Linked DNA regions of Mytilus edulis. The protein of the gene in region 4 binds, or shares a complex with, the protein of the main gene of each other region. Links are inferred from orthologs where the notes say so. Each region holds a gene or a part of one and is shown on either strand. Other genes may lie near its edges. The genes, in order: tectonic-like complex member MKS1, B9 domain-containing protein 1-like, transmembrane protein 231-like and centrosomal protein of 290 kDa-like.

Region 1 (7,168 bases), on a different chromosome or scaffold from region 4:
AAGTCTCTAGATCAATGTTGTCTAAAGCATTGTTGTGTGTACATGTTGGTGGTTTCTTTGAAAGGGGTCAACTGTCAATGTCACATTCTACAATGTACATCATATGGATAATTTCATGCAAGACAGTCAGTTTTATTGTCAAAGTTAACCAAAGTACCCAGAAAAAAACACAGAACTGAGACAGGAAACTGACAAATTAACCATATAAAATGTATGACGTGAAAATTGAACTTAATTGTGGGACTGCCCATTGAACAGAGGCCTGATGTCACATCTTGAAGTTGTGGTCACAGTTTGGTAAAATTACCATAAGTTAAATGGCTCTACCACTACGGCTCCTTGTAGAAATGGACAAAGATTTAAAACTTTGATTGTTTGCTTTGGTTTTATAAACATCACTTTCTACACCATATGGGTAATTTCATGGCAGTTAGTTTTAGTGGCGTACTAAACCGTAGTACTTGAAGGAAAACGCCAACCTACAGGAGGAAACTGACTAACCTTATCACATATGACATGAAAATCAAACCTTAATTTTGCAACTGCCCAACTAGGGCTCAACCAATACCTAGAGGCTAGTAATCATACATGTAAGGTGTGACGAACTACCATACAAACACGCCTACTGCCCCTGATAAGTTTTGAGGATAAAGGATCTGTACCAAATTAGGATAGCAAAATATTAAAAATTTGGAAGGTTGGCACAAATAGACTTGGTGTTTATACTAATATTATCCAAGTGCAAGGTTTTTCAGGGCTAAGTTTAAAACGTATGATAAATTCAAAATGGAAATATGCAGCAGGACAGACAATTTTTGCAGATAAATAAATTATGGGTTGTTATGCTTGTTTGATTAACAGAAATCTGGACATGCATTACATGCATACAGATAAATTAATGAGCCCTTAGAATTGTGGAAAAGGAGGGGATTTTATTCATCACTAGTACACTAGATACATTTATACATATGTTTCTGTCAGTATCTTTTATGTTTTAAGAATTATCTTATTCATGTTAAGAAGAAAGGCAAGAAAAGGGGGAAGTACTTCAATTGACACAAGATGCTAGTCTTTAAAATATGTATGTTTTGTACCAGGCTAGCATCTACTGGTACAAAACTACTATAAACCTGTAAATCTGGGACCATTTTGGTCTTTGAGCTTTGGTGCTTACAGCCATAATTATCTTGAATGCATCCTGAGACTACTATATATATAGCTATTAACACTATGTGTTATAGTAGTCTCAGATGCATCATAGTGGTTCTGACTATAGTAGATACTTTGTTCTCTGGTTCAAGGGAAAATTTGTCAATGATAAATTTCAAATATTTAATAAGTTTAACAAATGTAAGAGCCACACATATTTGTTCTGTGATGTTCCGGTGAAAAACTTCTATCTCATGAAGCGACAAAGTCAAGCAGAAATCATCTGTTTCTGCTTAATCAAAGATAAAATTTGAGTCCGCTACAAGGTCTCTCAGAAGGTTTCTTTCAAAGAATAGCTGAAAAATTGATTTTTGATAAAATCCATCTAATGCATTGCAGCATAGGGAGATGCTTTCCCCTGCCGGCCTCTTTGACATTACTTTTGGCAGACTTTTTCTATTCCATGTCATTTAAATGTTTGCTCCCAATACAGTGTAAGACAAGCGCTTTTAAGATCGTGATTTGAAATAAGTAAAGCCGGCACAATTTCGATTTTTTTTAAATAAAAAAAAAAATAATTCTGAAACGCAAATAAAGTTATTTGGGCGGCAAGTTTTTCAGTGGGTCGGGCGGCAATGCCAAACAAATGAAATTTTATTTTAGGCCTGATTTATGTATCCAACTTATTGAACAGTTTACAAAAAAAGAGAAAATCAGAGGATAAATCAATTTTCTGTCAACGCTTGAGAAATAATTGTATGATTTAAATACGCGTAACAGTCTTTAGAGAGAATAGGGGGGTCATTTGTTTACAAATGCACGTAGTTATGCAAAATAAATCAATCAAGATTTTTAACAAACCAGATTATTATATAAATAAATCTCCTTTAAAAGTAAATGAATTTTAAGCAAAAGGTAATGAAAATAAAAACTAAAACATAAAAAAAATGAAATTTCTTTGAGATTTTTTTTTCTTTCAGAGTTTCTTTAATTTCATACATAAAAAATGGTCATTTGAAAGATGAAATTAGGTGCCAGGAGATTTTGAGAATGCAGGATTTTTCTCTATTTATGCCAGAGCGTCTGGGGGCCTCCCAGACTCCCTGCTGTAACTTGTAAGGCACCAAGCTTACAGCTTGGTGGGCGTCCGGCTTCGCCGAACGCATGTTACAGCAGCCTATAATTTTCATTGAGCCTTCTACTTCAATTTCAATGGAAAGCCCTGGTATTGTAATCGCCAAGTATACTATAGGAGATTAAAACGAGAGAAAAATACACTACCTGTCATATAGATAAAATTTCTTGTTTACATTGAACATATAAAATTCCAAAAAATTTGACTGACATGAGATACATGTACATTTCAGTAATTCAGTTACTTTCAAGCAGGAATGATGCTTGGAATTTACTTACAAGAAATGTTTATCATCATTATTAATCTTCTGATAATGGGTATCATAATGTATTTCTTAAGGTTTGCAGACCCCATACCCTTTCACAGGGCTGCCTCATATAACAGTACCTTATGCATGTTATTTGATGTTAAACAGTTAAATTAAAAGAAATTGTAAATCACAATAAATTTTAAGGGAATATACTTGGTTCAAGTTGGAAATAATCTTAGTTTTTCATGAATTCAAAATTTGTCATTTTTGACGTTATTTTGACATCAGATCTTTTAGCAGAACGTAATTTTTTAGTTTCATTTGAGCATTGTGTTTTTCTGATACAATTGCAAAATTATTTACTTGAATTTGAGATTCTTAACAGGGTCTTTTGATCTATAATAAGCAGCTCCAAAATCAGGTTCGTACAAGTCCGCCATGACCGTAAACTATTTGCGATGTTGTATAGTTTCTTAATAAAAGAATGAAAGTTCCCCTGTTATCAAACGCTTTATTGATTTGTTTACTATATTATGTAAATTTTAAACAAGTCTGGTATTGTTATGAAATTCCGGTTTATACAAGAGACGACGATTCGGGGCGACAGTATGTCAAAATCGTACCTTAATAATAATAATAATAATAATAATAATAAATTCTTTATTTAAAGAGGGTAACTCAATTAGAAAAATTCTAATTTTCATTGAGGCCCTCAAACAAAATACATGCATACAGTTAACATTGATACATTAAATTACAATATATATTACTAGTATATACAACAATTCAATCACTAAAATATACAAAGAGTAATAAATGACAATATTTGATATAGTTTTGTTAGAGAAAAACAAATTATTTGACTTGCATATAATTTTCAAGAAAATGATTATAACTATGTTTCTTGAATAATTCCACATTAGGACATTTTTTTATTTCGAGTGGTAAATTATTCCATACTTTGGTTGCAGAGTAATGAAAAGATTTTTTATAAAAATTTGTATTTGGCCTTGGAACAAAAAGATCATTATTAGAGACAGATCGTAGGTTGTGGCGTTGCACATCATCAATATTTAGAATTGCTAAGTAATCAGGTGTTAGCCCATTTACAATTTTATACATTAAAATTGATTGTTGGTATTTTATTCTTTTGGTAAAAGATAGCCATTTTAAAGAAGAAAACATGAATTTAGATGGAATAGAAATATCGCATTCCAGTATAATTCTTGCTACTCTTTTTTGAAGTTTTATGATTCTATCTGAATCTTTGTGTAAAATGATAAATTTCCCCAAACTGAACTACAATAGTCTATATATGGTAGAATATATGCATTATAAAATAGTTGCCTTGTGTGTATTGGCAAATATACTTTAATTTTATATAAAAGTGATACTTTAGAAGAGATTATTTTACATACACGATCAACATGATCTTCCCAGCTTAAATTTTCATCAATGTCAATTCCAAGTAATTTGAAAGAATGGACATTCTCAATACATGTTTCGTTGACGGTAATGCATAATTCTGATAGTTGTTTAAGTTTTGGTTTTGAACCCAATTTCATACACTTAGTTTTTTGTGCATTGATTTTCATACTGTTATTGTTACACCAAGATTGTATAGCATTTAAATCATTTTGCAATATGCTGTTTATTTTTTCAATGTTTTTATCATGAAAATGCAATGTTGAATCATCAGCATATAAATCCATATTGGATTGTTTAACATGAAGTGGTAAATCATTTATATATATTAAAAATAACAGCGGACCTAAAATAGAACCTTGAGGCACTCCATACTTTACAAACGATTTATCAGATTTAATGTTAGCGTATTGGACTTCTTGTTGTCTGTCAGACAAATATGATTTTATCCAATCTATTATATGTTTTCCGATATGATAAAATTTTAACTTTTCTAAAAGTATGGCATGGTTAATAAGGTCAAAAGCCTTACTGAAATCTAAAAACACTGTACCAACTATTTCTCCATTATCTAAATATTTTAACCATTCGTCAATTAGTTTAGTTAGCGCTGTTTGGCAGGAATGACCTTGTCTGAAACCTGACTGGGCGATATGTAACAATTTATTATTGTTTAGGAATTCATATAACTGTGTACATACATGTCTTTCGAAAATTTTAGATATGGTATTCAAAATAGAAATTGGACGATAGTTTGAGGGAATATCTCTTGGTCCTCCTTTATGTATAGCAGTTACTCTTGCAAGTTTTAATTTTTGCGGAAAACGATTTGAAGTTATACTTTTGTTTATTAAAAAAGTTAATGATGGGGATATTATTTATGCACTTAGCTTTAAAAATTTGGGACCAATTCCATCTAAACCTGCGGATTTATTAATATTAAGATGTTTTAGTTGAGAACACACCTCTCCAACGGAAATGAGTTTTAAATGAAAATTTTCAGTTTTCTTTAATTTTTCACTAGTAAAATTTTGTAGCATAGAAAAATCCATATCTGAAGTATTATTTCCAATAAGTTTTTCAGCTACGGATGAAAAATGAACATTAAGAGTATTTACAATATCTTGGTTGTTATAAACCGTTTGATTTTCATACTGCATTTTAGGTGGGAAAATATTATCTTCTTTTGGATTTAACTCTTTAATATGATTCCAAAGTTCTTTACTATTTTTGGAACTAGTTATGGCGTTTTGGTAATATTCCTTTTTTGCATTAAATATTAACGACGTTGTTTTATTACGCCACTTTTTAAAGTTTACCCAATCTTTTTTTGAATGATACATATTCCTATATTGAATGGAATTTTTAATTTCTTCATTAAACCATTTGGCTTGTTTAAATGTTTTTACTCTTTTAGTTTTCATTGGTGCATGTTTGTTAATAACTTGATTAAAAAGTTCATACCATTTGTCGACAGCAATATCAATATCATCTTCCATTTCAACAATATCAAAAGGGGTTTGATGTAAGTCTGTACAAAAGGCATCTTCATTAAATTTTTTGAAACACCTATACTTTATTTCGATATGACTTTCTTTTTTTATCTTTATATTGATTTTTCTATTTAAGCATACAGGATAGTGGTCACTTAAAGCATATGACGGAACATGACAATGGACAATATTTTCAGGATTAGTAGTGTAAATATGATCAATTAGAGTTTCAGATTTGTCACAAATACGTGTTGCAGTGCAAATTTGTTGTTGAAGATTAAAATTGTTTATGAAATTGATCCATTTTTTATTCTCAATTTTTATCAAGTCAATATTAAAGTCCCCCATTAAAATTATCTCTTTGTTTTCTGAAAGAACTGCATTAAATTCTTCCTCAAAAAGATCTATCCAGGACTGAGGGGAATTTGGTGGTCTATAAATAGTACAAATAAAGAAAGGTTTAGATTTTGGAAATTCTACCTCTAACCATAAAGTTTCTAATGTATTAATTGATAAATCAGATCTATTTTTAACTGCAATAGAATCTTTGACGTAAACCAATAGGCCACCACCATCCTTACACTGGCGATCTTTTCTGAAAATTTTGTATCCCGGCACTTTACATTGTTCATTGTTAATGTCAGGTTTTAAGAATGTTTCAACTAATCCAAATACATCTAAATATTTGTTGTTTATAGTAATCATATTTTTTAACTCGTCAAATTTAGATAGAATATGTCGAACATTAAGGCATACAGCATTGAAACCTTTACATTTTAGATTAAGACAGTTTTTTTGATAATGTTTGTTTCTATTATAATTAGGTTTTGAGCTGAGGCTATTAGCACATATACCATTTTTTGATTTATGACAATTTTCTCTGAACTTTTGTTTTCAAAATTTTTAGCTACAGACATACATTTTTGAGTACATATACATTTTGATGTATTACAATTTGGACATAAATTGAGAAGTATATCGAAATTGTTATGAAGTAGTAATGATTTACTATGATTTGATAATTTGTCTACAAATTGAAATACATCAGATTTATCCTAAAGTGTGTGACAGTCTTTACAATGATGACCATAAAAGCCACAATTAAAGCAGATACCATTGAATGTATGTCCCATTTAATTCAATAACAACAATTTCAATATTCAGAATAAGAGTGGAAGTTCATGCGCTCTCGGCGAAGCTATTTATAAACGGTGTTCGGATTGTTTCTTGAATATGTAATATTTCATCGCATGTTGTATAATTCATTCTTTTTCGTGATTTATACCTTCCAATATCGTATCCTAGCTTTATTAACTCGTTCTTTTATTTACTTGAACAATAATGCACTATAATTGTTATATCAAATAAATTTTTGACCAAAAAAAAAATGTCCCATTTAATCCAATATCGTATCCTAGCTTTATTAACTCGTTCTTTTATTTACTTGAACAATAATGCACTATAATTGTTATATCAAATAAATTTTTGACCAAAAAAAAAAATGTCCCATTTAATTCAATAACAACAATTTCAATATTCAGAATAAGAGTGGAAGTTCATGCGCTCTCGGCGAAGCTATTTATAAACGGTGTTCGGATTGTTTCTTAAATATGTAATATTTCATCGCATGTTGTATAATTCATTCTTTTTCGTGTATATACCTTCCAATATCGTATCCTAGCTTTATTAACTCGTTCTTTTATTTACTTGAACAAT
Region 2 (7,399 bases), on a different chromosome or scaffold from region 4:
ACGAATTGTGCACATTCTGCTACAAGCATGAAATTTGGCATAGACCTTCCTCAACTATTACTCTTTTATTTCAGATAGGGAGGCATTTGAAAAAAATTGTCTCACTTCTGGTAAAATCCAAAATGGCAGACTTCATACTTAAATCAGCCCAATCTCTTGCACGTTAAAGACACCCTTGTAGATTTCGAAAAAGAGCAGGCTAATGCCGCTACAAGGCAGCACTCGCACCCGCAAAGTGGAAAGGGATTAATATAAGTTGCAAAACTTGTTTCCCAATCCACTATAAATAAATATGTTTAAACTAAATCAGCCCAATATCAAAGGCTAGTATTTGAAAAGGTGTTATTATCATGCTACAATCATAATATTACAAATCTTTGTTTTGTACTACTTTTTGGATATATTATATTGTTTAGATGTCTGCAAAAATCCTACTTCCAGTAAATTCCAACATGGCGGACATTGTACTAAAATAAGCTTATTTTTTAGGGAGGGTAATTGAAATGTGTTTAAACGTATTGCTACTATCATTACATTATGCAGGAACCTTTCTTTGGTGCTTCTAATGGATACAATGTATAAAAAATCTGTCTTTAAAACCCCCTACTTCCAGTAATATTCAAAATGGCGGACATAGAAATATCAATTCATTATTTAAATATTCAACTCCCTAAAAAATAAGCTTATTTAAGTACAATGTCCGCCATATTAGATATTACCGTAAGTAGGGTTTTTCAAGACATCTAATCTATATAATGTATCTAAAAGTAGTAAAAAACAAAGGTTTGTACCAAATATTATGATAGTAGCATGATTAAAACACCTTTTCACATACTAGCCTTCGATATTGGGCTGATTTAAGTATGAAGTCCGCCATTTTAGATTTTACCAGAAGTGCGATATTTTTTTCAATTGCCTCTCTATCTGAAATAAAAGAGTAATAGATGAGGAAGGTCTATGCCAAATTTCATGCTTGTAGCAGGATGTGCACAATTTTTCACCAAGCCGTCGTACTTATATAGGTTTATATTTATACTATAATACATGTGTAGGTATGTCTATAGCTACTCAGTGAAAAATTACAGTTTATTTATTGAATACTTATTGGCTTTACTGAGAGATACAATGAACTTGAGTACTAGCTCTGATAGATATCTAGGCAATCAATCAATGGAATATATTATATTCATTCTTTTGATGTGTTTGAACTTTTGATATTGCCATCTGATTAGAATCCAGGTCCATTCGCCCTAGTACATGTACCTGTTCGCCCTGATACCCTTTTGCCCTGATACCTGTTCGCACAGGGTTCATTCGCACTGATTTTTATGTTTTTCTAATTGTTGTCTAGTCACATAATTTAAAGTATTTGAACAAAATATGTTGAAGTTTGTTGAAAAATTGACAGAATATTTGTATTGCCGCAATCAATTTATCATTTTCCCTTTGATTTGCAGAGTAGAATACTGGAATACAATGTATTTATCTTTATTGATATTTGTTAACAAAATAATTGTATTCAGTCAACATGGTCAATCATGAATGTATACAGCATAACTGAGACTAGTCTCAGAGTATAAATAAAAGAACTTGTAAATCTGTTTCATCATTTACAATGTTACAGCTCGTACATTCATGACATTATGGCTTAAAATTATTAATTACAAGCTGAATATTTTATCAAAACAAAACGTTTGTTTTTATTATTAATCCATCAAAAGACAAGTATCACAATAATCAGTGATCTGAATTATTTTGTCATTGAACAATTAATGATCCTAAACAAGCCATAAACTTTTAAATATTTCCATGTTTCCATAAATTTCAAGAAAATATATACCATAGAAATATTTGAATAAAAGTTTATTCAACTTCAATGCCCTGAATATTAATATTTTTTTAGTAGGGTGAACAGACTCCAGTGGCGGATCCAGAACTTTTCCTAAGGGGGGCCCGCTGACTGACCTAAGGGGGGTATGCCCCAGTCATGCTTCAATGATTCCCTATATAATCAACCAAATTTTTCGCATGAAAAAGGGGGGGGGGGCAGGATCCGCCTATGGACTCTATGGGCGAACGAACTCAGAGTGAACAGACCCAAGGCTAACATGTTAAATTATTATTAAACTATTTTTGCTGGCACTCTGGCATGGCAGTAAAATCAAAGATATGAAACTTTGAAAGAACTAAAATAACTTGTAAATAATAACCAATAGAAGCAGAATTGTTACAGATTTATTTGTTTATTTGGTTATATTTTTTTTGAGGATCATTTTCATTTTTTCACAAGATAAACACAAATATTTTTTTGTTCAGAAATTCGCTATATTCAACCAAATTAAATTACAAAAAAATATTGTTTGTGTTCACATCGAGAGAAAACAAAAACACCTGAACGCTGAAGATAAAAGTATAACCAAATAAACAAACATTCTTTAGACAATATTCTACGTCTTTTAAGGCCTTGTTGATCAAAATCCAATCATAAACAGGTTATTCCTATAACCACCAATTGGTGGATTATACGTCAATTGAGGTATAATCCACCAATTGGTGGTTATTCCTGACCTGATAAATGCCCTATAAATATTTTTTTTTAAATGTGTTTTCTTTTAAATATATAGCAAACAAAATGCCTGTGACAAATACTTTTGGTCAGGTACTGTACAGATTATCGGTTTTAATACAAATGTATGCTTCAATTAAACCACAGATTTCTCCTATAATGTTTTGTTTGATATGCTGACTTTTTCTTAACATGAACAGGCTTGTTTTGAGAATTTGTTTTATTTTTTTCAGGTTTTATGGAAAGTGTTTAGAAGATTATAATGGTTTTCTTCCAAATTTTACCTCTCCGGACTCAATTTGTCCACCAACCATTACAAGAAATACTGAATTTGCTGTCATTTTTGTTTTGTTTGTGTAGTCTCAGTTTGTGCAGATCACTTCTATGTTGACAGACAAAATAATACTGTACGATACTACAAAAGGTATTCCGAGCGGGTATCAAGGTATTCCGAGCGGTTGATATCCGGCATTCTCGGCCCATTAAAAACTCGGACTATTACAAAATCGAGCTTTAAACAAAATCGGCCAACTGGAAGAAATTAGAATATACATCTAGTATGATAAAAGTTGTATAACTAATACAATATTATTTTGATATCATGTTTACATTTCAACCCAGGGTTTTTCTTTTTGCCATAAGGTGTCTTTCCTAATCTAATTTATAAACTGATAATTCTTGCATGTAAAATATAATTTATTTTGAACATTTTTAAAATGTTCAAAATAAATTATTCAATTATTCTAACTAGAGTTTAGATATTGAATGACAACAACTTTAATAACACTTTAATAACACAGGTCCTCGGGGGGGCCACTTGCTATATAATTAGTGGTAGGGATGAGCCGCTGGAATAGGTCACTTTTTCATGCTCTACGATATATGAAAAGGGTGAGAAATTCAGATGAAATATATCAATAGGTTGATATTATCACTTGCTTGATTATATCATAAGTATCTGAAACTAATCAGATGTCCGTATTTATTTTTGATGCGGTTAAACCACAGTCGTAAATGCATCAGTTATTTGTCAAACCAATTAAAATCTATTTATTCTGATGTGGTATTTCCACTGATGCCAGTGATAGATGCAATAAATCCAACTATTTTGACATTTGCACCTAATTAACATTCAAGGGTTTGTATACATAAAACATGATAACAATTATTTAAATAAATTCCATTGTGACAGCGTCCTTTAAGAGGGAAAGGCAATGAAACTTTTTATCAGTTTTAAATTAATATTTTAGCATGTTAAAATCAGTGAAGGTGTTACACTCTGCATGCTCTGGGGTGATATTACATTTATCTGACCACAGATGTAATACCATCTATGATCTGACCAAACGTCTTTTATATGTATTGTAATTTGGAATTGAAATATCTTTATAATGAAAGATGTAAAACGGCAATAAGAAAAAAGTGTTTAAGATGTGACGAATTTTTTGGAAAAGAAGGTGATATTATTGCGACTATTTACAAGATGATGAGCGGGGAAAATATTGGAAAATATTGAAATATATCTATAGGTCTGTTTTTTGTTAATTAATATATATGACAAGGTATATATTTTTGATTAACAAAATATATGAAAAGGGTGGGGTACTTGATGTCTCAGCTGCTCACCCCTACCAAAAAAAGTTTGAAGTGGCCCCCCCGAGCACAGGTCCTAAACAAGAACACCAGAAACGACACAGCCCTAGACCTTTTGTGTATGACCAATCCATCATTTGTTAATAGAATCGAAACATTACCACCAATCGGAGCAAGTGATCATGACATTGTTTACATAGAAATAAACTTAACTCTGCCGCAAAATAAGCAACAGGCTCATAAAGTACTACACTACAAATTAAAAGGCAAATTGGGAGCAAATAGAAAAAGATCTCACTGAAACATACAAACAACTAAAACAAGATCAAGATAATTAATTAAAATCTCGATGAACTTTGGAACCACTCGGTATGGAACACGTTAAAAAAAAAAACATCCAAAAATCTATTACCAAGCATATTCTAACAAAAAGCATTGGTAACAAATCAAAACTACCTTGGCCGGTAAATAACCAACTTAAAAAGCTCATTTAAAAGAAAAAGAAACTATATAAAAAGAAAAAGAAAAATCACAACTTATAAAAAAAAAACAATACCAAAAAATTAAAACCAAGCTCCAGAAAGAAATGAGAAACTCATACTGGCAATACATAGAAAATATGATTTTCGATATTGAAATAAAGGAGCCATATCAACCATGCTTCAAAAATACACCTTAAAAACTGTACTCTTACATCAAAAGCCAGAAATACGAAAACAGTTTCAGTCTGCATTTACATCTGAAGCAAACACTAAGTAACATTCCAGACAAAAGTCCTAGTAAATACCCCATAATGATACCCATTAAAATATCTAGGGATGGTGTTTACATAGACAATAATAGTGCATTGACTTGACATATCAATGATATAAGGATGAGGCTTAGAAACGGGGAAATGCGAGGCTCTGCCGAGCATTTTCCCCGTTTTGGGCCGAATCCTTATATATCGTTGATATGTCAAGTCAATGCACCATTATTGTCTTTATACTGCAATCTAAAAAAAACATTTTCAATTGTTGTTTATTGTGTTAATGTTATTTATTTGATTTAAATATTGGGAAAAATCCCCCTTTAAAAAGGCCTCATATCACACAGATGGAGAAATATAAAAACACGATGAAATGTACATCGATCATTACCGCAATCAATGATGAACGAATTCGTTGCAGACTAAAATATCATCAATAAACATAAAACATAATGATTTATAGGTTCCAAACAAAAAAATATTAATAAGTGAAATATGTTTTCCCAAAAATTGCAAAAGAAACAAGTTTGATTCGTTAAACGCATCGTTGTTTACATTGGAAACAAGAACAGGTTGAAGAGGTCGTATGAATAATTAAATACAATTTCGACAATTTCTATTTTTAAATATTCATGAGGAAAAGTGATATCAGGTCAGTGACCGTATATGGCATAGAAATATACAGTCAACGCATTTTGACTGCTCAAATAGAACGAGTGCAGTATAAAATTAAAACTAATTAAAAACATAAACCCGACTAAAGCTACCGGTCCTGATACCATCGCAGTCAAAGTACTTAAACAAAACATCGGAATATGTAGATATCCTCACTTTAATATTTACAAGATCAGATTCACTACAAACAGGCAAAGTACCATCTGACTGGAACCATGAAACTGTCACACCCATGCCAAGAAATTGACACCGTTGAAATTCTGCAAATATCCCATAGAGCAAATTACATGGATGATTAATATTGACCATTTGGTATATGGCCGTGTTCTTAGCGAGTACATAAAGGTCATAAATTAATTTGTTGAATGAAATTAAATCTGTATCTACTAATGGGTGCCGTAGGAGGTCCACCGAAATTTTTAGCTAGGATTTCTTGGCATGGATAACACAATAATATGAACCCCTTGCAGAAAGAAAGAAAGAAAGAAAGAAACACACATTAATCAATCAATCATGTTTCTTAGGTAAAAAAAGGGGGGGGAGACCGTTTACAATTGTTTTTTTTTTTTAAAGCAATTGATTTATATTGTAAAACGGCATACATGTATTAAAACTTCACAAAACAACATGTTGCAGCTACCTCGATCCCCGGCAAGAATTTCCGTAGAGAAAACTGAGAAATTGCAATGCCGTAAAAATCGCTTGTTGGTCCGTTAATCTCAATGAAATCCTACAATAAAATGTCTGCTCCTGTATTATAATAAAATCTGTGTTACAAGCTGCTTTTGAGAAATGTATATTGTAAGAAAATAATCAATAATCGTGTTTTAAAGTTACACAGGATAAATTAAATCCAAAGCATGCACTGCTCGTGAACTGTGATCGAAACGTCAATTTCCTACAATGACAAAAGAAATACATCGTGTGTATTCCCTCGTTATATACATGTTGTCGGTCTCCACCTAACAGATGTAAACAGAAAGAAATAAACTAAATTTTCACTATTATAAAGCCTCTTCACGTGACGCCACAACCTAGCGCGCGGGACCTAAAATAAATTAAAAACTTTCCTAACTAAATGTAAAACTTAACAGTGTATTTAAAAAAAGGGATAAATATTATACAACCCAAGCAACTATAGGCCTATATCCTTAACATGCATAGTTTGCAAATTACTCGAACATATCTTTGCAAGCAGCATTTGGATGAATCATCTAAAAACAAACAACACTCTGTATGAATTACAACATGGATCCGATTTAGGGCAAAACGATCATGTGAGACCCAAGTTATCTCACTGATTCATGAACTATTCCAAAACAATGACAAGAACATACAAACAGATCTCATAATCATGGATGTTGCTAAAGCTTTCGACAAGGTACCACTGACAAAAGATTACTATACAAAATGAAATACTTTAGAATATTAGATCAAATCATTAACTGGGTTGAATACTTTCTTTCAAACAGAACCCAAACAGTACTTTTAGAAAACATGTCATCTTCAAAAATACCTCATCAGGTGTCCCACAGGGTACAGTGCTAGGACCAATACTTTTCTTAATAAACATAAATGACCTCCCAGATTACATCCAACATAGCAAAATCAGACTCTTCGCAGATGACAATATAATCTATTGACAAATTAAAACTTTAAAAAACTGTCTTAAGCTGCAGGAAGACCTAGAAGCAGCCATACAATGGGGAAAAGATTGGCTTATTACTAACAATGACCACTGCCCTTTTCTCGATCTTGATATCTATATCACTAATGGAAAGCTGAATACTAAAATTTATGATACAAGGGATGATTTT
Region 3 (7,227 bases), on a different chromosome or scaffold from region 4:
CCTCTGGAAACAGCCTAGCTGGAACACTGCATGCGTCTGTAGTTATTATTGTAAAAGCACGGATTTTGGTCATAGCTGGTCTGGTTCCGATCCGTAGTAAGTAAACGGTCAATGGCGGACGAATGAAAGAAAATTTACAAAAATAAAGGATATTTGACAAGCTATTTGGAAAGAATATGACTTTTTTAATGCAATAAATGGATTAAATATTTACTGGAGGCAACTTTTATCATGATTAAATGAAGTAACATTGACCGTAGTTAGTAAACGGTCAATAACGGATGAATGAAAGAAAATTTACAAAAATAAAAGATGTTTGACGAGCTATTTGGAAAGGAATAAAACTTTTTTAAAGCAATAAATGGATTACCGGTAAATATCTACTGGAGGCAACTTTTATCACGTTTAAATGAAGTAACACACTTATTTTGCTGCCGATAGTTAGAATGATGTAAGTTCTCTAATTCATTGTACATGTAGGTCACAAGTACCAGAGGAGCATGAAGGGATAACAAAGTTGTCTTTTTATTAAATAATCTGCTACACACTGTAAAGGACAATACCTCAACCTTTTTTCTTAGAAAATGAATCTTTTAGGCCACACCAATTTGATTCCTTGTTCGACAGACCCGCCCGCACCTATTTTTTTCAAAACAGAATTTTTTTATTTCTTTTATATTCCCGCTTCCCGCATCTGGAAATGCAATCATGTCCATTTCCCGCACTGTTTTTGTTGTAAATATTATAAAAAGATATCAACATTTGTTTTTAAAATCACAGTCTAACCTGTATATAACGATTTTAAACATAAAAGCACCCCACCTCACTGTGTAAATATCTGTGAGAATATTTGTTTCAGCTCCGATATAAATTGATAAATTAACAGCAGAAATATCTGTAAAGTACAAAAAATTGGTTTCTTTCCCCCTTACTTATATTCCATATCAAAAAATGTTCATTGTTAGAATAAAGTATGAAGAACTTCTGAAGGATTTGTCTTCAACTGCAATTATATTGTATGCTGGCGAAACAAAACTATCCATAGCCGCAGCATGTTTATGCACCTGTCCTGATTGATTCAGGGGCCTGTCGTTCAGCAGTTATCGTTTCATGTTTGTTGATGGTGTTCATTGGTATTTTCCCTTTTTGATAAATTAGATCGTTGGCTTTCCTGTTCGAATTGTGTACGCTAATAATTTTGGGGTCCTTTATAGCTCTGTTTGGTCTGTATCAAAGCCCTGTTAAAAAGGCCGTACTTTGACCTGTGTTTGTTATTATCAGGTTGAGAACAATCCTCCCTCAGACAAGGGGTCATTTTACTGTTTTACTGATGAAGAAAAGAAATACCAAGGATATGTATAGTTCTTCTATACAAAACCTTTGAAAACTTACAATTTTGTACTTTTTCTAAAAGAGGGGTCCACTTATTTTGAATAATATTAAACTGTAATAAAGTAAATGTGTTAATTTAACATGGTTAAAGTCCAGGAATATTACAAAATTCCTGGACATGTTTTTACCATTTAATACCAGATAGATATATAGTTCTTTGAGAAAATATGAGCCTTTTTGTACAAACAAATATATAATAACTTATATTGATCCCTCATAAAACATGTAAAAGGGATATTTATAACATTAAGGGGTTTCCCCCAAACTGATTATGACTTGGATGGAGAATTGTCTCATTTCAGTCACACATTTTGTCTACATGTATGTTTGTATACCTTGCCGACTCTAAATAAAGCTTATTTATTATTTATTATTACATACATAGACCACATTTAATTATTTCTTGGTAAACAAGGAAAAAAACACTTCTGAAATTAAAGAAATGTCAGAGTACAAGTGATAAATCAAGTTTTAATGTTGTCAAAACCTACTATTTTATGTTTACAAAAAAAAATTATAATCGCTCGCCTTTACTTTTCAAGCTTCGCCTCAAAAATTTGCAAATTAAATATTTTTTCATTAAAATTTTCAAATCGCTCGCTCGCCCCAAATTTTGGAGTCCAAAAATCTGTAGAACAAGCACGGTGCAGTCCGGTGTATCCGCGCACATAAGACTTATGACTTCACTTCATTCAACTGATAAAACCAATAATTGGATAATTTTGTGTGAACACATTCATAATATACTTTTATTTCATAAAATCTTCTGTTTGTATGGTTTCATCCTCTAGATTTTGTGTAATGTGTGTCCAAAATTAGGGAAACCCCTGTTCTGAGAGTTCCTCCAATGTCCGGTGATTTCGCGCATGCCTTCCAAAAATAGCTTATTTGGAATAAAGGAAAGATTTTACACTACGAAATATAGCTGAGTTTGTACCAAACACACTTCCAAGGATGCAGAGCAAAAATTATTTCAATCTAATATTAATTTGAATTAAATAAAACCAATTTTATCTGATGATGTAATTTTTTTAATGGAAATTGGCCAAATATGGTAAATCACAGGATTTTAGTTATTAATTAATTCTTGAACTTATCAATTTTATTCTTTTTTATCCCTTCGGAAGGCTAAAACATTAACAAGAACGATTTTGTATGTGTAACTGTGTTGATATGACGAAATCAGCTAATGCGCGATAACACGGGCCGCACGGACACCGGGGACTCCACTGCAATTAAATTGGTGTGGCCTTATGTCTGAATTTCTTTATATTATCAATAAAAAATTGTTGTTTCATCAGTTTTCTAATTATCACCGATGCCATTTCCGCTCTCAATACGGAAAGCTGGTCAACATTTTTTTTTTATTTACAAATATATACATGAATCTGTATAAATTTGTTTTGTCAACGTGCTTCAACTTGATATGACTGGTGAAAAATCTTGGTTTTTAAAAAAAAATTTACATCGCACTTACCATAACTCCTATAAACAACGAAAAGTGGAGGGATTACTGTAACAAACAACACCACAACTAGAATTATAGATGCCTTTGAACAGATATGGGTTTTGTAACGTCGAAGTTCTGGATGAGAAAATACTTCGTACACCGCCATTTTCAAACAAAGCAGGAACGACGTGAATAAGATATAACATAAATGAATTATTAATAAAAAAAAATATGTGCATTATTTTCTGTGTATAATCATGATTGATTACTGGTATTTTTTGCATCATGAGTAAATTGATGAATTTTTATTTATAAATTGTTTTTATCGACCCTTTCGCCACTTAGCTCAGGGTGAATAAAAGTAAAGCAGTACGTGAACCTATTTTTCAGATAAACTGGAATCCGCTTGTAATTTACGCTACACTTGAACAAAGTCTAGTTTAGTAGTCAGTCGAGAAGCAGCTTATTTTTTAAAGGCATACGATTCATCATAAGGAACTACAAGAGACCAGAAACAGGATCGATTCCATAACCAACATCATGAGACGTCAGCTAGAAATTGACGAACGCTAACTGATAGAAGAAAGTAAAGAAGACACAGCCTCCGTCTGATCCTGATATACATGACAAGGTATATGACAAGGTGGTTGAGGGTCTGGTGTCGACTCTACCAGCCGACAACAACTTTGTTACTCGTCTTACTCCGTCATGAAGACCGAAAAGAACAACCAAAGCCAAAAACATTTACTTATTGTGAAACAAACAATATAATATTGAACGGCAAGTAAAACAAAAGAGGGCTTTAAGGGCATACGATACAGTTTCGATCCCATACAAGCTATTTTTCACCTTAGCAATTCAGATTTGTAATAAAAAAATATGTATACCTCAATGTACAACTTCAAGAGATAAACTAAGGGGTCGAAATTTTAGACATTTACTCTAAAAAATATGTGTTTATATTTCTATTCTTTGGATAGACACACCTGATTTTTTTATTTCTCGGCGACAGATAAACACAAGCGGAATTTTGTAGAAACACTATCATGCCAAAATGAAACTTCGCAAAAAAATCAAAAATTGATATTATGTTCATTCTGTATAAAAATGCTCAAATTCATAGATATTAAAGTTTTATTCCGCTAGATAAGCGATCACCATCGATTTTAAATTTAGAGTATTAATTATCTGCGTTCCGCCATTTTGTCCTTCTTTCCCGATTAATGAAACGATATGTCTATAAACCACAAAGAAACAAAACTACAGTAACCGATGTAGTCGTAATTGCGTGTCGATATCTTGTCAATCGTACGGTTGTTTTATCCGACTAACTAACCATGGTCTGTTGTTTTTAAAACTTGGAATTAGGTGACAAGTCAAAGTTGAAATCATAAATAAAAAGTGTTCCGTGAAAATTGTTTTCGAAAATCTAATTTGTTCATAATTCTTTAAAGTAATAAACTGTTTTCAAATAAATTTTGATCTTCCCTCTTCTGATCACCAGCATGGCTAAAGGTATTACTTCCAAAGGTATTGTGAGGGGTGTGAGGTGACACGTCCAGGTATTTAAGCGATTTCCTGTCGGGCTTGCAAGTTCACGCATCGTTTCACTTCTGCAGGTATTGATCAGTGTACACGGCTGATAACATTTAATTTTCCATTTTGAACTATCAGATGTATAATATACAACTCTGTCTTACTTGTCATTACCAAACTCATACGCTTGTTTATAAATAACATTTCTGGTGTAAAGAATATTATTCATAAAAATATAAATAATACCCAAAAAATAAGATTTGATGAAATTAAAATCTATTTAAATATTTTTCCAAGGGTGAATTTGGGAAAATGTAATATATACTCATTGTCAAAAGTGAAGGACAGATTGGAACATACCAGAAATATTGATTTAAAAAAATGTACGCACTTGCCGACGATTCGTTTATACGACTGGATAGAAAGTTACGGAACTATAGCGCAATTTAAAATATATACATGTATACATTGAACATAAGAAAAAAACATATATTTTGAATAAATAGGGGTAAAAGTGTTGTAAATAGACTAGTCCACGTATGCCAACAGTATGTAATCATCGAATGTCGATAGACTATTGTATACCAGAAGAAGAAGAGAACCAATTTGATTTAAATACAGGTCGATGTATAACTTTTGCTTTGGTTCATTGAAGTTGTGGACATAGTAAAATCACAGATTTATATTTCAATAAGATTGTTCTCGAACAAAGGAAGGAATTCGTCATCAAAATTGTTATATATGCCACTGGACGAACACTAATTATCCCGAAGAGATGTGAATATTTTGCTGGGAAACTTTTGAGTATCAAAGTTTCAAATTAATTTCGGGATTTATTTTTTTTCTTGGTATTCAATAACAGAAAAAAGAATAAATAACTTGTCCGCTAAATAGGGGTAATCTTGTCAGATGAAAGACTTTTAGTTATATTTAAAAAAAAATAGGGAAATATGACATTAAATTGGTTCTGTCTTTTTTTTAAACATCGTTAAAAAGATGTGTGTCTAAGGTGAACGCCACAAGAACCCTGTAATACTAGTACGAGAGTATAGCATGTAAACATTCCTTCTCAATAATATGGTTGTATTGGAAATCTTTTCATACAGATTGACAACTCATTGTCCGATATGCATGTAATATTTGCCACATGACGCCCATAGTTCTTTCTACCATCATCATCTTATTCTTTGATATTGCTGTCAACATCGATGGTTCACACCCAAACAAAAGGGGAGTAATGGACCTTCAGAGCTTCTCCGTGTTATACACTTGTGAAATATATAGACGAAATTTCTGTATTGAAATGAATATACATCTCACAAACAGGATTTTCAAATAACGATTTTGAGTAATCACCTTTCAAACCAATATAAACGTATGGCAAGATATAACCATGAAGGAATTTAGTTTTTGTCGGTAGGCACTTAAAGTTAACCATCGAGAGACGTTAACCACCGAGAGTCGGTTTTTAGACCCGCCCAGTGCACCTAAGCACGCCTACTTTTGGAGCTCTTTAGTATGAAGATAAGAAAAATATACGAAATTACGGAACTGTGTACCCTGTTTTATCCTTGTTGTTGGTGTTTCTTGCGCATGCGTACAAAGCACGGGGATAGTTACGGTTACTGACTCAGGAACCTTGTATATTATATACCTCGGTTTACAGACGTTTAATAAACTGGATCACTGTTGTGTTCACTTATCGATACACTACGATGGAATTACGGACCAGTTTAACATAAACATGGTAAATAGATAGACAGCTGATAATCATAATTGATTAAGAAATAACCTGGAAGAAGAAATGAGTTAACTATTGATTATAACAGAGACGAGTGCCATCGTGTTTGTTCTGCTAAAAAAAGCAGGAACATTGGAGTTTATGGTTAGATTTTAAATATTTATTGTCTCCAAACTGGGTAAATTTGATATAGTAACAACCCCCCCCCCTTTTTTTTAAATAACTCGAGAACCACACATCGCGCTCGCTTAACAAAGTAACAATAAGAAATAATTATTGTTAGTTTCAAGAATAATTAATCGTCAAAACTTATCCCCTCCCCGACATCAAAGGAAGTTAAATGTATTATCCCAAAATTAGACCAAATTATTATGATATAAGGACGTCTTGACAGGCTATTATTTTCTTTTGTTTTGTTGGTTTTTTTTGTTGCTTTGACGTCTTCCTCCTGTATGAAAAAAAACATAATAGACCCCCCCCCCCCCCTTTTTCCCCATAATATAGCTTTTTAAGAAGTCATAATTATTTGGACTACCCCTGAATATATTTCAGACAGACTCTTCTCTAAAAAAATATAAACATGATTTGAGAGAAATCTTTGGAATAATTTTTTAAATGATTTGATTATTATGTCATGTATATAATTAACATTAACATAGTTATAAACTGAGACTACTAGTATAACACATAGTGTTATAGTAGTCTCAGCTATAAACTTTCCATTGTATTGACCAATTTGACTAACTCATACGCTCTTTCCCATAAATGTCACAATATCAATATATTACAGTAAAACTGATAGTTTGATGACATTGTTTAAGACTATTGACCTCAGGTCAGCCTAAACTGAGTTTAAAACTGTAATTTATTCATTAAAACAGTACAAGACATGTACCTTCTGAAATGTGATTGCATCAAAATTAAACCTAAGGCATAACATACTTAGTGTGCAGGAAGTGCCACCAAATAAATACTGATTTGTAAAATTAGATGATGATATTTGTGAAGTCAAAGATATAATAGCTAGTTATAACTGGTTTTAGATATAAATCTGAGTAAAAGGTTGATTTATATGTGCTCTTTTATGTTTAGATTATAATTTAAATTT
Region 4 (6,981 bases):
CACTGCCAAGGATGCAGAGCAAAGATTATTTCAATCTGACATTAGTTTGACTTAATGACTTAAATAAAACAAATTTTATCTGATGATGTTTTTTTTAATGGAAATTGGTCAAATATAGCAAATCACGGGATTGCAGAACTTTATTAATTAACTTGAACTTATCAATTTTATTCTTTTTCATCCCTTCGAAAGGCTAAAACAATTACAAGAACGATTTTAATTTGTGTACAGGGATCTCCATGGATGAAAATTGAATGATGGAGGAACTTTCACCATTACAAACCGTGTCTACGCTGTACAGTGTAGCGCAATCGGAAGTATTTTATCCCTCCATACAAGGAATGGTGAACATGCTAATTCATTGCTTGTTTAAATTATATTTATTTGAATTTTCATTATAGAATTAGAAGATTAGAGGTAATCCGTTTATCGGATAGGACATTAATGATCATCAACATTAATTCATTCAAATAGAATCGGTCAGTCAGCAATTATCTGTGAAGAAATGTGCATATGACAACTTGGGCACAATTTGCAATGTTTACAGTACTTAGTTTCATGGAGAAAACGTTATGACAGAAAGTTGAAAACCATAACTTGTTTTCCATGAAATAAATAGCAAATTCAGATTTGGCATTGACTGCCCTCATTTTTTGATTGTTGATCATATTTACATCCTCTACTTAAACTGTTTATAATCCTCCAAAGAAGGAGCACACGGTCTGTCGTGACATGGGAAATAACATGTGCTAATATGGCAACGAGAAGCAGGATTCTCATTAAACAATAAGCAGGATCCGGGATCAGACTCCCTTATAACAGTTACATGTACAATGCAGCTGGGCCAAATGTATCCGCGCACTTAAGACTTATGACTTTACTTCATTCAACTGATCAAACCAATAATTGGATAATATTGTGTGAACAAATTCATAACATTCTTTTATTTCATAAAATCTTTGTTTGTATAGTTTAATCCTGTCGATTTTGTGTAATGTGTGTCCAAAATTAGGGAAACCCCTGCACTGAGAGTTTCTCCAATAACCGGTGATTTCGTGCATGCCTTCCAAAAATAGCTTATTTTAAATAAAGGAAAGATTTTATACTACGAAATATAGCTGAGTTTGAACCAAATACACTGCCAAGGATGCAGAGCAAAGATTATTTCAATCTGACATTAGTTTGACTTAATGACTTAAATAAAACAAATTTTATCTGATGATGTTTTTTTTAATGGAAATTGGTCAAATATAGCAAATCACGGGATTGCAGAACTTTATTAATTAACTTGAACTTATCAATTTTATTCTTTTTCATCCCTTCGAAAGGCTAAAACAATTACAAGAACGATTTTAATTTGTGTACAGGGATCTCCATGGATGAAAATTGAATGATGGAGGAACTTTCACCATTACAAACCGTGTCTACGCTGTACAGTGTAGCGCAATCGGAAGTATTTTATCCCTCCATACAAGGAATGGTGAACATGCTAATTCATTGCTTGTTTAAATTATATTTATTTGAATTTTCATTATAGAATTAGAAGTATCAATATTTTCATTTATTGTCGTTTTTAACCATTTAAATGCCAAGTCTTCATGGTCCCTTCTTAGTTGAGAATGACAAAAGCTGTTATGAAGGTCCCCATGTAGATTTCTTGTATTTTTGGTAATTGTTATGGGGGTTAAAATCATATGATGTGGAGCTTATTTTTCATGGACACTCTCAAATTAAGAACCCATTACCAGTATGGCTGATTTGAAGCAACAACAAACGATTCGTACGGGTTATGTAAAAGGTTAAAGAGATTTGTAAAGCAAACGTTGACAAATGAAAAGGTTTTTAATGACTTTATCTGACAAATTGATGCTGTGCAACATGCATCTTTAGAGTCTGAATAGAAACCGGAAACACGAATGTATCAATTTGATTGTAATATACGAAATGAATTCGGAATTACGATACGATATTTCTTTACAGTAAAAATTTAAGTTTTTACTTTTAAACTTTTAAAGTAATTCTTAATTATCGTTACAGCAGTACTCAAGTTATTTGCGATGAAATAATATTTACTGTTTTGCGTCTTATTTTGTACTTCTTAAAAAAGGGGGATGCTGATTGCGTAAGTCAAAATAAAGCATGTGTTCGACTTGTTAAACTGTTTTCTTTGTAACTGGATTATTTATTTATTTACTCTAAATTATTATAATCATTTGCTGAAACTGAGTTGATTAATTCGACAAATGGATCGTCTATCCTCAGATAGTATTCTCCTGTCTGGTTTGTTGATCTACCTGTACAAGCTCAGGTACAAGTGATTAGCGATCTTAATCCGGATATCCCTGAGGCGTTAGAACTGTATTGGATTATAACATAAAAAGCCTAAGGGTTATGCAATTACATGCATTTGATTTTAATTGATAAAAAAAATGGCGTTGGGCTACAAAAAACGATGAAGTTTTGAACGATGGCAGAAGACATTTGAACAATGGTGGGGCACCATCGTTAAACAAGCCATGGAGATCCCTGGTGACATAATCAGCTAATGCTCGATATTACGGGCCGTACAGACACCGTGGACTCCACTGTATAACTTTTATAAGTGGAAATTTATTAGGTTTTTTTGTCTTTAAAGGGTAACTGTACTTTTATGGGAGTGTTCAGTTTACTGAAGGTACATGTGGTTTTATTTCAATTGACCATAAAGATGTATTCAACAGTAGTAAACAATGTAAAGTAAATCACGTCATTATTAAAATAAACAAGTTTGATCTTGCTGCTGTTACAAAACCAATTTACACATCATTCTGTGTGATGCAAATACCTTTTGTTTAGTGTTCAGTTTAAGAAAACTTTAAAAAGGTTTTAATTGCGTCCAGTATTATGGAATCAGCTACACTTGAAACTCGCTAGGCAACTTTTAACTATGACATTTTGAAGTTTGAAGAATGTCCGCCATTTTTTATGTAAACATAGTTAGTGTCGAGTAAATTGGTAAGGCTGTAGTATTCGTCGCGAGCAATTTGCAAAATAACAAAACGAATTTAGAAAGTTGTCAAACTATATTGATTTTTTTTATATTCTTTATCTTACCATAAATTGTCAAATATGATAGAATAGAATTTTATCACTTCATTGAGTACTAACAACGTTTATGTTTAATCAATTTTAATATGAGCTATTTAATTCGTTTTGGAAAAAAATGTTTGATTTGAGTGAGTAATGGCACGAGTTTTAAAAAATGCTAAAATAAGCTTAACTATCTAACCTTTTTAAGCTTAGTCACAAAAATCATAGTGTAAAACAGAGTTCATTGTATGAATGTAGAAAAGACGCAGAAAGTTACCCTCTACTTAGCAAGTAGATTGTAGTTGCCTGTTAGTGATGGCTAACTAATTTCTTAGATTGGTCCTCTTTCTGTTTTGCTGAAACTGAAAATAGTAGCCTAACTTAAACCAACCCTTTTTTGATTTCATAATGATTTAATCCACAAAATAACCAATCAAATAGCTACAATAATGTTTGTAGGACTCTTAAAAGAGGGACGAAAGATACCAAAGGGACAGTCAAACTCATAAATCTAAAACAAACTGACAACGCCATGGCTAAAAATGAAAAAGACAAACAGAAAAACAATAGTACACATGACACAACATAGAAAACTAAAGAATAAACAACACGAACCCCACCAAAAACTAGGGGTGATCTCAGGTGCTCCGGAAGGGTAAGCAGATCCTGCTCCACATATGGCACCCGTCGTGTTGCTTATGTGATTACAAATCTGGTAAATAGTCTAATTCGGTAGGTCATATTCATGAAAGGGAAGGGAATTGTAGTTACGACGTAAGGAACGTATCCGATATCATTTGTGAAACGGTTATTCCATAACGGTCAACCAACTCGTGATGGCGTCCGTAAAATTTACGAAGGGATGATTTCAACTTCACTATTTGGAACTCTTGTTTTAATAGCTTCCTTGTGAGCAGTAACCCTCTATCAAGAAAATCATGATAGGAAATGCAAGCACGGGAATATCGTATCAATTGGGAGATATATACCCTGTATGCAGGTGCTGCTGGAATGTTGCTACTTAGAAATGGAAAGTTCACAATTGGAAAGCTGAAATCATCTCTTTTGTCGTAAAGTTTTGTTTTCAACCGACCCTCATTGTCAATTTCTAGATGTAAGTCAAGATATGAAGCTGACTTAACTGTATCTGTAGTATCCTTTATCTTAAAGTGTGATGGGGGCGCTAAAGTATGATGGTCCCGCTAAAGGGTGATTGTGGCTGCACTAAAGGCCGATGCTCCATACTCTTAAGTGCGATGAAAGTATAGACGTATGAAACGTAATTGTATTATCACGTTAACAGTTTTTTATACAAACCATAAAAGTACATGCTGGACGAAATATTTCAAGTCCTCATTTAAGCAACTGAAAAAACACCCACACATTTGCTTAAGCTGACAAAGCAGGGTTAGGTGTAAATAAGATTAAGAAAGTCATAGACACTTGCTTTCCGACTGCTTGGTTTATCACTTATTTCAACTTATATAAAACCAAGCAGTCAGAAAGCAAGTGTTCATGACTTTATTAATCTAAACCTAACCGTGCCTTGTCAGCTGAAGCAAATGTGTGGTTTTTTTTTCTTCAGTTGCTTGAAGGAGGACTTGTATCTGCAGTTTACTTTATAGATACAAAATAGTATACACATATATATCCTGTATCCTGCTTTTATTGAAAGCAAACAGCTAAATTTATTTTTACGATAATTGTTGTTTTATAAATAACTTTGCCTTCCCCATGGTTGAAATATTGTGGATTTTCTGAAAAAGAAACATCTGTAAAATAAAGGTGCATGCTTTCAAGCGTAAATTAGTAAATTATAGATTGTATGCTAAATCACTAGTTTGTACATTTTAGGAAAATATATCATGTATTATTTCTTGCTACGAAAATGTAGAAAACTTTGTTCTCGCTGCGAAAATGTAGAAAACTTGGACAGCATCTCCTTTCTCACACATTTGAATTAAAATTTATGCATATAAAATAAAATTGAGAAAGGAAATTGGGAATATGTCAAAGCGACAACAACCCGACCATAGAGCAGACAACAGCCGAAGGCCAACAATGGGTCTTTAATGTTTTACATTCCGAAAATAAACAAATATTGTATTTGTTATTAGCAATAATGACTGTAAGCTAGGACTAGGGGAGGTGTTCACACATAATTGTTAGACAGTATGATTTTCTAGTATAGAATCCCTAATGATCTGTCATAGGTGTTCTTTTAGGTAAAAGTTTTTAAAATGAATTTTATTGAGAAAATATATTATTTTAGAAAATATGAAATTATGAAATATTTTATTACAAATTTGAATTTAATTAATCAGGTAAATTTTGTGAAACATGTCACTTGTAAATAATTGCTCTGAGCAACACTTTGGTATCTTGTCAATTGTCATTAATTAATCTGAGCTATATTATGTTTTAATTAGGATTATAAATGTAATGAACTTGTATCTCTCTAATTGACATTATTCATATTTCACCTTTGGACATTGTAAACAATATTATTAATACTCAAATTATCTCAATTATCAAAATTATCAATGTCTGTCATTTTATGAGTAGTTTTCAGGATTCGCCTTAAATATCGGAGTCGAACAGTTGTTCGTCAGTGTAGTCTCGTCGGTGTTATTCAGATAGGAGTGCTTCCAAAGCCAACCAGGCTCAGCTACTCAGGAGAAACGCTAACTCAAAAGACAGCTCAAAACAACTGTAATCGTTCAACCAGACAACATCAACTTTATATATTTGGAACATTTTGGACTTTAACTTTAAACTGTGAATTGGATTAGTGAAATTAGTGACTTTATTATTTGGAACATTTGAACTTTATTTATTCGTAAATTGTTTCGGCATCATTATTATTATTTGGACCAGTTACTATATAAAATTGTTACAACTTGCTGCTTGCTTTATAGTTTTGCCTGCTATTGCTTAAGTCTTGCGAAAGACTGACCCACTGTGCCTTGGGCTGTGCATGTTCGATAGTCCCCCTTAAACTCGACGTGCATTGGCTCTTGGTGACAGGTTCTCTTCACCAGACTCTGATTTGAATTATTTTGCTTACAGTTTTGTCTGTGACTCCCAGATATTTCTGCTCTTATAATTTATCTCTTCATTAGACCAATATTGAACTTGACAATTTTGAAAGGCATTATATATAATTTTATAGAGGGTGTTTTGTTAATTTCTATCTGGCAGTTTGTTCTAGGCTTTATGTATTCTAATTTATGTGTTTATACTTTATATCTCAACATTCTACACATTTTACTCACACCTGACATAATATGAACCTACACAAGCCACATTGAGTCACTTATTTATATTTTACATATTTGTATTGTTGCAGGAAAATGGAGTTTGAATTCCTGCTTGTGCTGTTGTTATTGCTGACCAAGAGTTTGTTAACAGAAACAAAACTGACCAAAGAACAACCTCTTATAATAAAAGTAAAAATGTTATATAACATTTACTGTGATAAGCTAAGAGGTTTGGTTCTATCATGTTCTATAAAGATGGGTTCAAACTTACAGTGTTAAAACAGTTAGACCATTATAACAATATGTTCTAGATCAATATCACTTCAAGTATATCTTTTTTAGTATAAACTTGATATAAGAACTATTAGGAAGAAGCTGAAAACTGAGTGATTAAGATATCAAGAGTATCAAAATAGTCTAATAGATGGGGAACAATCAAATTTCAGCACCTCAAAAATCTATGAGGTTTAGATTTCAATAATGAGGAAACAACAATATTTAAAGAAAGATCTGGGTAATCACATTTAAAGGTACCAATTTTATTGGGACGGATGCACATTTCTACAATGTATCTATTGTGGAGCAAGACAGGCCAATATATTTGAATACCAAAACCTAAAAATATGTTGAAGAACTTACATGTGTTAATTGA

The links.
Region 1: centrosomal protein of 290 kDa-like (region 4) and tectonic-like complex member MKS1 share a complex: the UniProt entries of both Homo sapiens proteins name them as parts of the tectonic-like complex. The link is inferred for Mytilus edulis from reciprocal best matches to the Homo sapiens genes CEP290 and MKS1.
Region 2: centrosomal protein of 290 kDa-like (region 4) and B9 domain-containing protein 1-like share a complex: the UniProt entries of both Homo sapiens proteins name them as parts of the tectonic-like complex. The link is inferred for Mytilus edulis from reciprocal best matches to the Homo sapiens genes CEP290 and B9D1.
Region 3: centrosomal protein of 290 kDa-like (region 4) and transmembrane protein 231-like share a complex: the UniProt entries of both Homo sapiens proteins name them as parts of the tectonic-like complex. The link is inferred for Mytilus edulis from reciprocal best matches to the Homo sapiens genes CEP290 and TMEM231.

What each region holds. Positions count from the first base shown.
Region 1 is NC_092349.1:45,661,468-45,668,635, reverse strand, and holds the start of tectonic-like complex member MKS1, read right to left. Parts: upstream 3,018-7,168; 5' UTR 2,975-3,017; coding exon 2,898-2,974; intron 1-2,897. UniProt on the Homo sapiens protein: Component of the tectonic-like complex, a complex localized at the transition zone of primary cilia and acting as a barrier that prevents diffusion of transmembrane proteins between the cilia and plasma membranes.
Region 2 is NC_092352.1:63,763,100-63,770,498, reverse strand, and holds the start of B9 domain-containing protein 1-like, read right to left. Parts: upstream 3,008-7,399; 5' UTR 2,908-3,007; coding exon 2,851-2,907; intron 1-2,850. UniProt on the Homo sapiens protein: Component of the tectonic-like complex, a complex localized at the transition zone of primary cilia and acting as a barrier that prevents diffusion of transmembrane proteins between the cilia and plasma membranes.
Region 3 is NC_092348.1:50,345,144-50,352,370, reverse strand, and holds the start of transmembrane protein 231-like, read right to left. Parts: upstream 3,031-7,227; 5' UTR 3,009-3,030; coding exon 2,870-3,008; intron 1-2,869. UniProt on the Homo sapiens protein: Transmembrane component of the tectonic-like complex, a complex localized at the transition zone of primary cilia and acting as a barrier that prevents diffusion of transmembrane proteins between the cilia and plasma membranes.
Region 4 is NC_092353.1:4,363,346-4,370,326, forward strand, and holds the start of centrosomal protein of 290 kDa-like, read right to left. Parts: upstream 3,007-6,981; 5' UTR 2,825-3,006; intron 1-2,824. Other genes in the region: uncharacterized protein, read left to right, coding at 6,423-6,518. UniProt on the Homo sapiens protein: Involved in early and late steps in cilia formation. Its association with CCP110 is required for inhibition of primary cilia formation by CCP110.